3 linked regions of the Coturnix japonica genome follow. The protein of the gene in region 3 interacts with the protein of the main gene of each other region in a pairwise test. Links are inferred from orthologs where the notes say so. Each region holds a gene or a part of one and is shown on either strand. Other genes may lie near its edges.

Region 1 (4,387 bases), on a different chromosome or scaffold from region 3:
GTGCTGCTCCAAAGTGAGCCCTGCCCCCATATCACCCCATATCACCCCATATCACCCCATATCACCCCATATCACCCCATATCACCCCATATCACCCCATACCACCTGCTGCATCATGGCTGTGTGCTGCTGACGTGTTGGATGGAGGTGGACGCAATAAGTCCCTTTTCTTCCCATGGCTGATGAGATCTTTCTCTTCCTGTGGATGAATTCTCTCATTCCAGCTCGCCCTGAACATACGATGCAAATTAAACCTGGTGTCAAATAGACCTTCGAGAGGGAACTGGTCTTAGAAATGATTCCTACAAATCACTGGGATGAGCCTTTATGTGTGTTTCCATCTGGTTTCTCCTGCTCTGGATGCTCCATGTGATGCACACACAGAGCGGAGCTTCTAAGGAGAGAAAGTCCCTTCATGTCCAGCCATCCCTCTGAGCTTTGCATTTAGATTTCTGCTGTCTCTGTGTGCGGAGATGATTTGTCCATAATTACTCGCTTTCTCCAGAGTCCTTTGAAGCTCCTGTCTCCAAACCAGTCCCTTACATTGAGAATAAACCACTTCCAAGCCACCAATAAAATGTGAGCTGTGATTAAAGCCCGGCTCCTCGCTTCGGGAGCTGTTTCCTAAGTGAGGTCAGCACAGTAGGAAGTTTTGCCTTGTGTGCAGGGTTATGCAGGAGGACAACCCCTGTGCTGCACTGAGGTGTGGGGGGGCTCTGTGTGATGCAGGACGGAGCTGAGCTTTATTGAAATATATGGGGTTGTTATGTGGGAGAAGGTAGGAAGTGGTGGTTAAGGGCGGTCTGTGCCCTCTGGATACTCTTTGGGAGGATATTGTGATGGGCTTCAATTCTATCGCCCTGTTTGCTGCAGGAGGTTAAAGCCGCACTGAGCGCTGCCTGCATGGGGATCTCCATCTGACCCAGACAAAACGTGGGCTCACTTTTGGGTCTCTCCATCCCAAGTGTGTCCCCCTGGCGACCCCCCATCCCCCTGCGCTGCTAATGGAGCCCAAATCCCACCGCCCCGTTGGGTGTCCGTGGGGAACGTGGGGTCCGCGTTGTTCCGCGTGGCCGTGGAGTGACACCCCAAAGCTCTGGGGCTCCATTACCCAGCCGGGACCGTCCCCCGTGGGCTCATTTGGCCGCGGACATCACGGAGCTGCAGAGGGGGGCAAGGACGGCGGGTCGGTGCCGCTCGGAGCCGGGCGTTGAGCTGGACGCCGCTGGGGCTCCGTTCCGAGCCGGGTCACACCGTGATGCTGCGATTGAAGCCGGGGGAAGCAAAACACTCGGACTCACCCCACGCCGCCTTCCCACCCCGCCCCGCTCAGCGCCTTTCCGCGCTCCCAAACCTCCCCCGTTTATTCGGGAATCTCGGTATCTCTCCGCTCCCCCCATACCCCCTATATCCCCCTATACCCCCTATATCCCCCCATATCCCCCCGCTCCCCAGCACCGCCCCCTCCCCGCTCTCCTCTTCCCGTTCCGCCGCTCTCCTCGCTGCGGGGCGGTGCTGGGGGCGGTGCCGTTCTGTGATTGCAGCTCCGTTTCTCCCATCCCTCCCCCCCCCGCCTCCCCCGCGCCACCCGGAGCCTCGTCCCCGCTCCGCCGCTCGGCCCAGCAGCGACACAGCGCCCAGCCCGGCCCCGCAAAGCTTCTTCCCCCCCTTCCCCTCCCCCAATGGAGGAGCAGCCCCCGCACCACCCGCACCACCACCACCACGGGCACCACCACCACCACCACCACCACCCGCACCACCGGCACTTCTGCTATTACCCGCAGAGCTCCTTCCTGCCGCCGCCCGACGGCCGGGCCCAGCCCAAAGCGACGCTCCGACACCCGGAGGGGCCCAAGCGGAGAACAGGTGCGGGGCGGGGGGCGGCGGGCGGCTCCTGGGGGGGGGGCTTCATCCTTCATCCATCCTCCATCCTTCATCATCCTCCTCCCCCGGCCCGGCTGGAAGCTTCTCCGCCGCGCTGGGGCCGCTTCCTGTCCGCCATGTTGGAGCCGGCGCGGCTGCGGGCGGCGCGGGGCACGTGGGGCTGCGGAGCGGTGCGGGATGATGCGGGACGGGGTGGGAGCGGGGGGAGCGGGACGGGGAGCGGGGACAGGAGGAATGTGCGGGGGGAGCGGGCGGGACACACACGGTGTGCGGGGCGGCGGGACCGCGTGGGGCGGCGAGAGCGATAACGGGGGGGAAAGGCCGGGCCGGGCCTGCGCTGCGCGGGGCATGGACGGGACCAGCCCCTTTTACCCCGCACCCCCCTTTACCCCACACCCCGTCCCTTTGCACGCCCCTTCCTCGCCGCCCCCCCCCCGCCCCCCCGGCCCAGTTGTTGATTTGGGGAGAGAACGGAGCGGCCTCGGGAATTGGAGCCTGGAAGTGCTGACACGCCGAACCGAACCGAACCGGGCCAAACGTGCGGTCAGAGGGATCCACGTGTGTGCGGTCCCATAAGGATTCCCTTCCATAAGGATTCCCTTCCATAAGGATTCCCTTCCATAAGGATTCCCTTCCATTAGGATTCCCGTATCCCTTAGACCTGGAGCTCTGACATCTGCCCCGCATCTGAGGCTCCAGGATGCACAGATAAGGGCTGCTCCATCCAGCAGCGTTGGCGATGACCAGAGCATCCATCCCCAAACCGCAGCTCAGCCCAATCTGCTGCTGTGCCGGCACGTGTCCCCTTTGAGCGCTGCTTTTCGCGGTGCTGGAGGTGCCGTGGGCCCGGCCCGGTGCTGCAGGGACACGATGCCACCAGCTCCGGGCTGAGAGGAGCAGCCCCTGTTAAAGCATCCTGGGAATTTCCTCTGCGTGACCTGGAAATGGTGCTGATGAAATCGCTCTCTGGATTGCGATGGGCTTTGCAGGGCTGCCTGCTTTCCTCTCCTCGCATCCCTGTGTCCCTCCTGCTTTGTTTTGCTCCTTGTGTCCAACAACGCGCTGCTGTCCCTGTGCTGTGTGTGAATCCATGGGTGGTGCTCAGCCCTGCTCTGTGTGGATGGAGATGGTGTGGATTGGGCAGCAATAGGACAAGGGGGAATGGGTTGAAACTGAGACAGGGGAGGTTTGGGTTGGATCTGAGGAGAGGGTGGTGACACACTGTAGTGTGTCCCATGTTGCCCAAGGAGGCTGTGGGTGCCCCATCCCTGCAGGCATTCAAGGCCAGGCTGGATGTGGCTCTGGGCAGCCTGGTTGGTGACCCTGCACACAGCAGGGGGTTGGAACCAGATGATCATTGCGTTCCTTTGCAACCCAGGCCATGCTGTGCTCCTGCGGTGGTTTTATGGGGGAGCTGATGTTTCCCTATTTCAGAACACCTTGAGGAAACGGGGCGCAGCTTGTTGCAGTCAGAACTTTAATGCTGCACATTCTCATCTTTGCTCTTTTGTCTCTTCTTGGTTTCTTCCAGGCTATGGAGAGCTGAACGGTAACGCAGGGGACAGAGAGGTGTCACTGAAGTCTCTGTGCTCAGAGGAGACCACCAGCCCCACGTCCAGGGTGCCCAATGGCAGCCAGCAGCCCGCAGACCCCAACGTGACCCCGAAGCCGTCTGTGAAGGGCAGCTCTCTGGGGAAAGCCGCCATCAAACCCAAGAATTTTGTTCAGAAAAATAGCATGGACAAAAAGAATGAGAAGCCCTACGACAGCAAAGTGAGGGAGGCTCAGCCTGCCGACAAGCAGGACGGGGTGTCCGTCCCCAACGGCGTGGTGAGCGGCGGTGCCACCTACATCACCAATGGCTACGTGGGCAAAGGGGGGGCCGACAACGACGGGAGCGGCTCCGAGAGTGGCTACACCACCCCAAAGAAAAGGAAAGGCCGGCGCAACAGCGCCAAGGGCTGCGAGAGCTTGAACCTCACGCAGGACAAAGTAATGCAACAGGAGGTCGGCACGCCGGCCCTCAAACAGGAACTGGAGAGTTTCAAGCCTGATTATAGCGAGCAAAAGGGGAACCGAATTGAGAATACGAAGCCTGTTTGGAAATACGAGGCGGGGGGCGGCGGGGCGGGCAGGGGGAAACCAGGAATTGGAGACGTGCAGAGGAAAAACTCGGATGCCAAACCTGGGATTAGCGGCAAGAAGTTTGATGAGCGGCCCAAAGGGAAGCACGCTTCGTCGGCCGCGTCTAAGGAGGACTCGTGGACCTTATTTAAACCACCCCCGGTTTTTCCAGTGGACAATAGCAGTGCTAAAATCGTTCCCAAAATAAGTTATGCAAGCAAAGTTAAGGAGAACCTCAACAAAGCAGCTCAGCCCCCATCTGCGTCTTCGTCATCGTCGTCTTCATCATCTGCCGGGGAAGCTCAGCCCGCCCCGTCCAGCCGGCTGTCCCAGGTCCCCATGTCTGCTATGAAGTCCGTCACTTCTGCCAGCTTCTCCA
Region 2 (4,208 bases), on a different chromosome or scaffold from region 3:
TGTATATTTCCTTTATTCTGAAGAAATATCAAGTTTTGAACAGTGCACGGAGGCAGCGACTTCTGCTTTGGACGCCGCTCCCTTTTTAAAGACCTCATTATTACAGTTAAATCTAGAGACAATACTTAAAAAGCATTAGATGGCAGAAAAGGGGGGAAAGTCTTACCGTCGAAAGGCTGCTGCAGGTTCCAGCTCAGCCTGAAACTGCAAGGAAAAGCGGAGCAGCTGCTGAACAAAAGTTTTAGATTTTTTTTTTTTTTTTTTCCCCCAGAAAGTCTGCAAAACTAATTTCCCACAAAATAGGACTCAATTTCCGTTTAAGAAACCAGCTCTTGCAAATCTCATACAATTCCTGATTTTTTCCAATGGCAATTCGAATTCATTTTATCTTTCGCACATGGACCCAAGAGTTTAGACTGAAATGACAGAGCGCGGTGCTTTTTCTTTTTCCTTTTATTTTTTATTTATTTATTTATTTATTTCCTTTTCACTTCAAGTTTGGTTTGCGGGGAGGACGAGGAAGGTAGAGCGAAGAGAAAGGGAGAAGGAACTCAGCGTTTCGGCAGCGGGCATCTCTTTGGGCAGCGTTCTGTAAGCGCTTTATCTTAATATAAACCCGTATACAGCCTTCCTCGGCGCTACTGCTAATCCCACGACACGCGCAGCCCGGGCTGTCCCTCTCCAGGTTGTCCCACTATAAAGGCTGCAATGTAGCAAATGGAGAAGCAGAGAAGTTGGGTAAACTGCGCTTTTGGAGGGGCAAAAGGGGCGACTTGTCTGTGTTCGAAAACACGTGGCGGCTCGCTGAGCGCCGGGAGTTTAGTTGTAGACCCACAGGCACTGGTGGTCCCTCCTGTCCTTAAGGGCGAGGTGTGCGCGGAGGTGACTGCGGGGCTGCGCTAGGCAGAACAGCCTCGCACAGCCGGGCCGTGCCGTGCCCAGGTACGCTGGGAGCTCAGGTGGGGCTGCAGCCCCGCGCCCTCCAGGTGTATTTGATTTCTCCCACACTTCGCCCCTGTGCACATCCCGCTGGGTGTCCTTTATCGCGCTCCCTTCTGGGAGAGGTGCGGTGCGGGGATGGCCCCATGGGGCCCAGACGCCCCCCGCCTCGCCCCGCATCCGTCCGGAGGGGGGAGCGGACAGCCCCGGCGGAGCGGCGGACGCGCTCCTCGCGTCGAGGGGGAGGAGAAGCCGCTGCTCCCCTCCGGGCCGCCCCCGGCCACCCCCCCCCCCCCCCCCCCCCCCCCCGGGGCGCGCAGCGCTGCCGCCCGCTGCCGGAGCCGCTCGGCGCGGGGACGGCGCTGGCGTTTTGGAGGGAGTTTGCATGTGGTCAGTGCTGTGCCGCTAAGCCAGCCCCCAGCTCACATTACACACTACTGTATTTATAACCTCTCGGAGCCGTTTCCCCCTTCAAGCAGTTCTCTGGGACCACCTTCTATTGGCTTCAACCTCTCCCACTTCTTGACATCCGAGCGGCTCTGAGAAAGGCTCATCTAGGTCCGAGTGTTTATGCAGCGGAGACTGGCCGCTAGGGCTAAAGACCTGGATTATCTGAGCTCAGTCGCCTGCTGCAAAGTCGGTCGTTGCCGTTTTGGAAAAAAAAATCCCAGCCCCGATCTGTTTACAGTGAAAGTTGACAAAGGGTGGTGAAGTTGGATCCTTCCTAAACTCTCCTGCCTGGAACCTGAGACTTGCATGCCATGGATCACACACTCTTTGGCTGCCTGCGCAGCCCCCATGCCACCGCGCAGAGCTTGCACCCTTTCTCCCAGTCTTCTCTTGCCCTGCATGGAAGATCCGACCACATGTCCTACCCCGATCTGTCTTCTTCTTCTTCCTCTTGCATAATAACGGGATACCCCAATGAGGAGGGCATGTTTGCCAGCCAGCATCATAGGGGGCACCACCATCACCACCATCATCACCACCACCACCACCAGCAACAGCAGCACCAGGCTTTGCAGACGAACTGGCACATCCCTCAGATGTCGTCTCCTCCCGCCGCGGCCAGGCACAGCCTCTGCCTCCAGCCGGACTCAGGAGGACCCCCGGAGCTGGGCAGCAGCCCCCCCGTGCTGTGTTCGAACTCCTCCAGCCTGGGCACTACCACCCCTACGGGGGCAGCGTGTGCGCCGGGGGACTATGGCAGGCAGGCTCTGTCCCCTGTGGAAACGGAGAAGAGATCTGGGAAGAGGAAAAGCGACAGCTCAGGTAACGGCGGCTTTCCCTGCGGGGAGGGAACCCCGGGCGGAGGGTGTCGGGGAGCTGCGCTGCAGGGCCCCGGCTGTCTCGGCTCGGCCCTGCTCCGTTTGCAGCGGGGCTGCCACCGGGCTGCCCTCGGCCGCGTTCTCGGGATGTCCGTCATTAAGGGCAGCTTTATTAGGGCCGCGGGGGGGGGAGAAATAAAAAGGAAAAATCCAGCACGTGATAGCGCATGAAGTAGTGAAGGTGGCGGTGGCGGGAGGAAAGTTTCCATCCGACAGGGCGAGAGCTTTCGTAGTTTCGGAATGGATTTTAGCATCTGGCCCCTCGTCCCCCTCCCTCTTGCCGATCCGCCACCTCTGCTTCGAAGCTGGGGACGGGACACGCTCCTTGCCTCCGCCCTGACCGCGGGCTGCGGCATCGCGGCGCTGAAGAGGGAGATCGCAGCGTGGGGCTGCACGGGACGGTCCGAAGCTTTTGCGCTCCGTGCGTAGGATCTGGCCGTGCGTGCAGCTCGGTCCTCGGCGTGGAAGGGGAGAAAACTGGGGTCCGTAGGCCAAACGGGTGATTGAAAGCTTTAGAAAGTTGCTAGTACCGGGGGCGGAGGGAAGGAAGGAGCTGTCTGACTTTTCACAACACCACAACTCTTGCTTAAAGACGAGCAGAAAAACATATAGAGCCGCAGTTATTTTAGGAGGGTGATTCAGGAGCTCTGAGCGCGCAAAAGCCTTGACATAATCTCTGCTTAAGCCGGCTGAGCCTGGCATGGGCAGCTCTGACCGAAGGCGTGCGGTGCAGGCGATGTGAAGATAGCACACACAAACCAAAGGGCCGTCAGGGATGCAGCGAGGGGGCAGTGGGCACTTGGGAAGGAAAGGACTCGGTGCTCTGAGAGCTCCTGAGCGGGCGTAGCGAATTGTATATTATCAAGGAAGAGAAAGTGAAAGGCTTTTCCACAGAGCTGTGGAGTTCCCAATCGAAACCGTGACCTCTTGCAGCCAAAATGTTGTTGGCTCAGTAGAGTGGTGGACGATTGGAACCGTTTAGGAAAATGACCCCAAAGGATACCATTATTACATTAATAAATTAATTTTGTCATTCAAGATAGGATTAGTTGAGTTTTATCTCATGTAGCCGGGCTGAAAAGTCTTCCAGGAATGAAAGCTGTACTTTGTCAAACAGCGGTGGTGAATTCCATCATTGCATCTTCCTTACGCTTTATGAAATAAAAGGAATTGTCAGATTTTTGTGCGGCAGATGGGGAGTGCTACAATTTGAGTCCCTGTTACTACTGAAAAATGCCTGTCGGTGTAGGGATTTATTGTATTTGTCAGTGTACTTAAAGCTGAAGGGAAAAAAAGGAAATGGGTCCCTTTCACTGACAGGGAAGTATCCGTATTGCTTTCTGTTTATTTAATTTTGTGATGCATACAAAAAAACACACTGAGGAATGTCACAGATTGTATCCTGAAATGACTGCAGCCTTCCATTGGATTTAGTGGACACGGGTGGGAACATCAAGTTGCGATTGTGCTTACATTGATAGCACTGTGCTACACACCTCACTTTCTGAGACTTTCAGAAGACCAAAGTAGTTAACTGCTGATTGCCCCCTTCTCTCTCCGAGGAAGAAAGCGTTCTGTCCATTCACACAATGAGGAACTTCACAAACTGAAAATAGGCACCTTCTGACAGCAGCTGGGTAGCTCCAATGTCTTTGGTTTTTCTTCAGGAAAAGGCAGAATTTTGGACCAACCATTTAACCCCACCCCTTTATTAATCCTAAGCTCTGATGCTACTTAATGCCATCCTAATGTATGGCAGCAAGAACTGTTGTTAGTCGCTGCATTTCTATATTTGTAATCCATAATCGCCCCTCATTAGATTAAAAATCACTCCCTTTATTTCTCATTAATCTGCTTTTTTAAACAAATGGACGTCCTTTAAAGCATTTCATCCCCCCTCCCTAATTTTTGGTGACAGATTCATCACACTTGGAACCACTT
Region 3 (2,483 bases):
CACTGCTTATGCACAGAGAATGAATGCAGTTTTGGAGCACACAAAACCTCAGCATCACACATAACCTATTCAATATTATTTTAGTACCAGTTTCTTCAAGCTGGACCCCCCACTTCAGATTCTTAAAGTTGACAAGCGTCCCTTTTCATTGGTAGTAGTGATCAGTGCATTTTCAAAATGAAGTTAGATGAAAATTGTTACTGCTTTAATATTGTTGTTTTATTTTCCTTTTCAGGAAAGGAAGGATTCAGCTGCACATCTTGTGTATGGAGCTACAGTTTGTTAAGTGGAATGTGCACCTCAGACTGCTTTGTAGGTTACTACAAAGTCCAGGAGGCACCAGGACAAGAGGTAATACTCACAGGCACTTGGTCCTGTGATTAGTATGCTGTCCTTTAACTTCTGAACACAACACAAACACAGAATGTTCTTCTCTGAGTTTTCAAGGCTTTTAAAAAGCCTCTTCTCTTGACAAAGAAAGCATTGTTTCTCTTCTTGGATCTTTCTGTTTTAGAACACTTCTCTAAGAGTAATTATAAAGACATTACTCTGCCAAAGATGATACGAAAGTCATGTGTACAAAATGAACTATGTTATTAAAAGAGTATTTATTTTACCCTAGTTTAACTGAGATTTCCACTGGGATTTCTGCTTCTTTGTTTGTGAGAAATCACATCACATTTCTGAAAGGCAGTTCTGCTAGCAGGAATCTAGTGAAAAGAGAGGCTGAAGTTAACGCTGTATATTTAACAGAATAAGAACACAATCAGGTTTGTGTCTGTGCAGCTAGCTTGCTTCCTGGTTTCTACACCAATTGCCTTCCAAAGATGTTTGTTCAAGAATATAGCAGCAAAGCAAGACAACTGGCCAGAGATCACAGAATCTCACAGTCACAGAATTGCAGAAGTTGAAAGGGACATAAAGAGATCACAGAGTCCAACTTCCCCACTAAAGCAAGTACAATTGGTCACACAGGTAGGCACCCAGACAGGTCCTAGATATCGCCATAGAATAAGACTCCATAACCTCTCTGGGCAACCTGTTCCAGTGCTCTGTCGCTCTTACTATAAAAAAAGTTCTTTCACATATTATTACATGTCAGAGTTACCTAGATCAATCTATGTCCATAACAGGAGGGCAGTAAGCTCGTGGACCCCCCTGCCTGGGCAGCCTGATCTAGTGTATGGTAGCCCTGCCCATGGCAGGGAGTTGGAGCAAGGTGAACTTTAGCCTCCCTTCCAACCCAAGCCATTCTATGACTGCGTTTCTGTGAAATAGAACCAATGCAAGCTAATAAAATTTTACATTGCTATAAAATTTCCAGCCAACTTTGCTCCTTATTTCTGTCCCTTCCTAATCAGAAAGGGAATTTATTCTCTCATATTTTTGCTTTCTTCTTATTTTTTATTTTTCTTCCTTCAGCGTATTCTCTCTTGCTTCTCCCATCTCAGTACTTTCAATTATACTTGAGTTAATTTTTGGAGGCTGTTTTGATATCATTAGTGCTAAAGAGACACAAATCTAGTACTACAGGACTAGCAAAAGAAAAACAGTTTTTGGAAAAAAAGCATATATGCGGAGTGAGTTCTAGCCAGTTGTCTTGCAGAGTCAGATCTCTAAGCTCCTACAAGTCTTTATCCATCTTCCTACAAGTAGATCAGCACAAGCCTAAGAAGTATTAACAAAATTTCAGTTTTCCTACTCCCTACTGTATTTTGCAATTGATACCTTTGGCATCCAGATGTGACCACTCAGTGAAACACAGAGCAGTACTCTCGGGTTAGGGACAAGGAAGATGAAAAGAAAGGTGCATCATTTGTTTTGTGTCTGAAGGAGGACGAGACGAAGTGTGAGAGATGTGACAGCACATGCACAGAGTGCAAGGGACCTGGACCTCTCAACTGTACCGTCTGTCCAGCTGACATGCAGCTCTACCTGGAAGAAGGCCGCTGCCTACCCTGCTGCAGTGACACTGAACACATCCCAGAGTGCTGTGACTGCAGTGAAACACAAGGTAGGACCATCCTGAGGGGCAGCAGTGCCACTGGTGGACAGTATGGCTGACTAAGCTCACTTCTAGACATGAAGAGGGGAAAAGCAAAAACATACTGCTGAGCTACAACTATGTGGTGTTATTTCTACTGCTCTACCATTAGAATAGGAAGGTCTTTAACCAAATAACAGCAATTGCAACTGCTGCAGTTCTCTCACTCCCATCTACTGTGCCAAATTGCCAAGCACTTCATAAAACAGTTGTCTGGGAAGTGCTTTATTCAATGAATAGCAATTTGAGAACATCATTTTAAGCTCCTAAGTCAAAATCATACTGTCGACTTCAAAACAGCTGTAGTATTTTATACAACTGATGATCTGTAAGGTGGAAAAATATTTTTATGGAGCAAACTGATAGAATTTTGAAAAACAGGCTTGTGGCACACAGCCTGTCTTCAAGTCTTTTTAGGTGCCTGATAGTGAAAAGCATA

Evidence for each region.
Region 1: the proteins of PCSK5 (region 3) and NUFIP2 interact in binary tests that used the Homo sapiens proteins (3 or more experiments, as listed by UniProt). The two-hybrid records come from large-scale screens. The link is inferred for Coturnix japonica from reciprocal best matches to the Homo sapiens genes PCSK5 and NUFIP2.
Region 2: the proteins of PCSK5 (region 3) and MEOX2 interact in binary tests that used the Homo sapiens proteins (3 or more experiments, as listed by UniProt). The two-hybrid records come from large-scale screens. The link is inferred for Coturnix japonica from reciprocal best matches to the Homo sapiens genes PCSK5 and MEOX2.

What each region holds. Positions count from the first base shown.
Region 1 is NC_029534.1:4,761,199-4,765,585, reverse strand, and holds the start of NUFIP2 (nuclear fragile X mental retardation-interacting protein 2), read left to right. Parts: upstream 1-1,572; 5' UTR 1,573-1,682; coding exon 1,683-1,866; exon of another isoform or gene 1,867-2,113; intron 2,114-3,415; coding exon 3,416-4,387. UniProt on the Homo sapiens protein: Binds RNA.
Region 2 is NC_029517.1:25,764,070-25,768,277, reverse strand, and holds the start of MEOX2 (homeobox protein MOX-2), read left to right. Parts: upstream 1-1,303; 5' UTR 1,304-1,700; coding exon 1,701-2,211; intron 2,212-4,208. UniProt on the Homo sapiens protein: Mesodermal transcription factor that plays a key role in somitogenesis and somitogenesis and limb muscle differentiation. Required during limb development for normal appendicular muscle formation and for the normal regulation of myogenic genes.
Region 3 is NC_029547.1:33,589,554-33,592,036, forward strand, and holds part of PCSK5 (proprotein convertase subtilisin/kexin type 5), read left to right. Parts: intron 1-235; coding exon 236-351; intron 352-1,833; coding exon 1,834-2,014; intron 2,015-2,483. UniProt on the Homo sapiens protein: Serine endoprotease that processes various proproteins by cleavage at paired basic amino acids, recognizing the RXXX[KR]R consensus motif. Likely functions in the constitutive and regulated secretory pathways.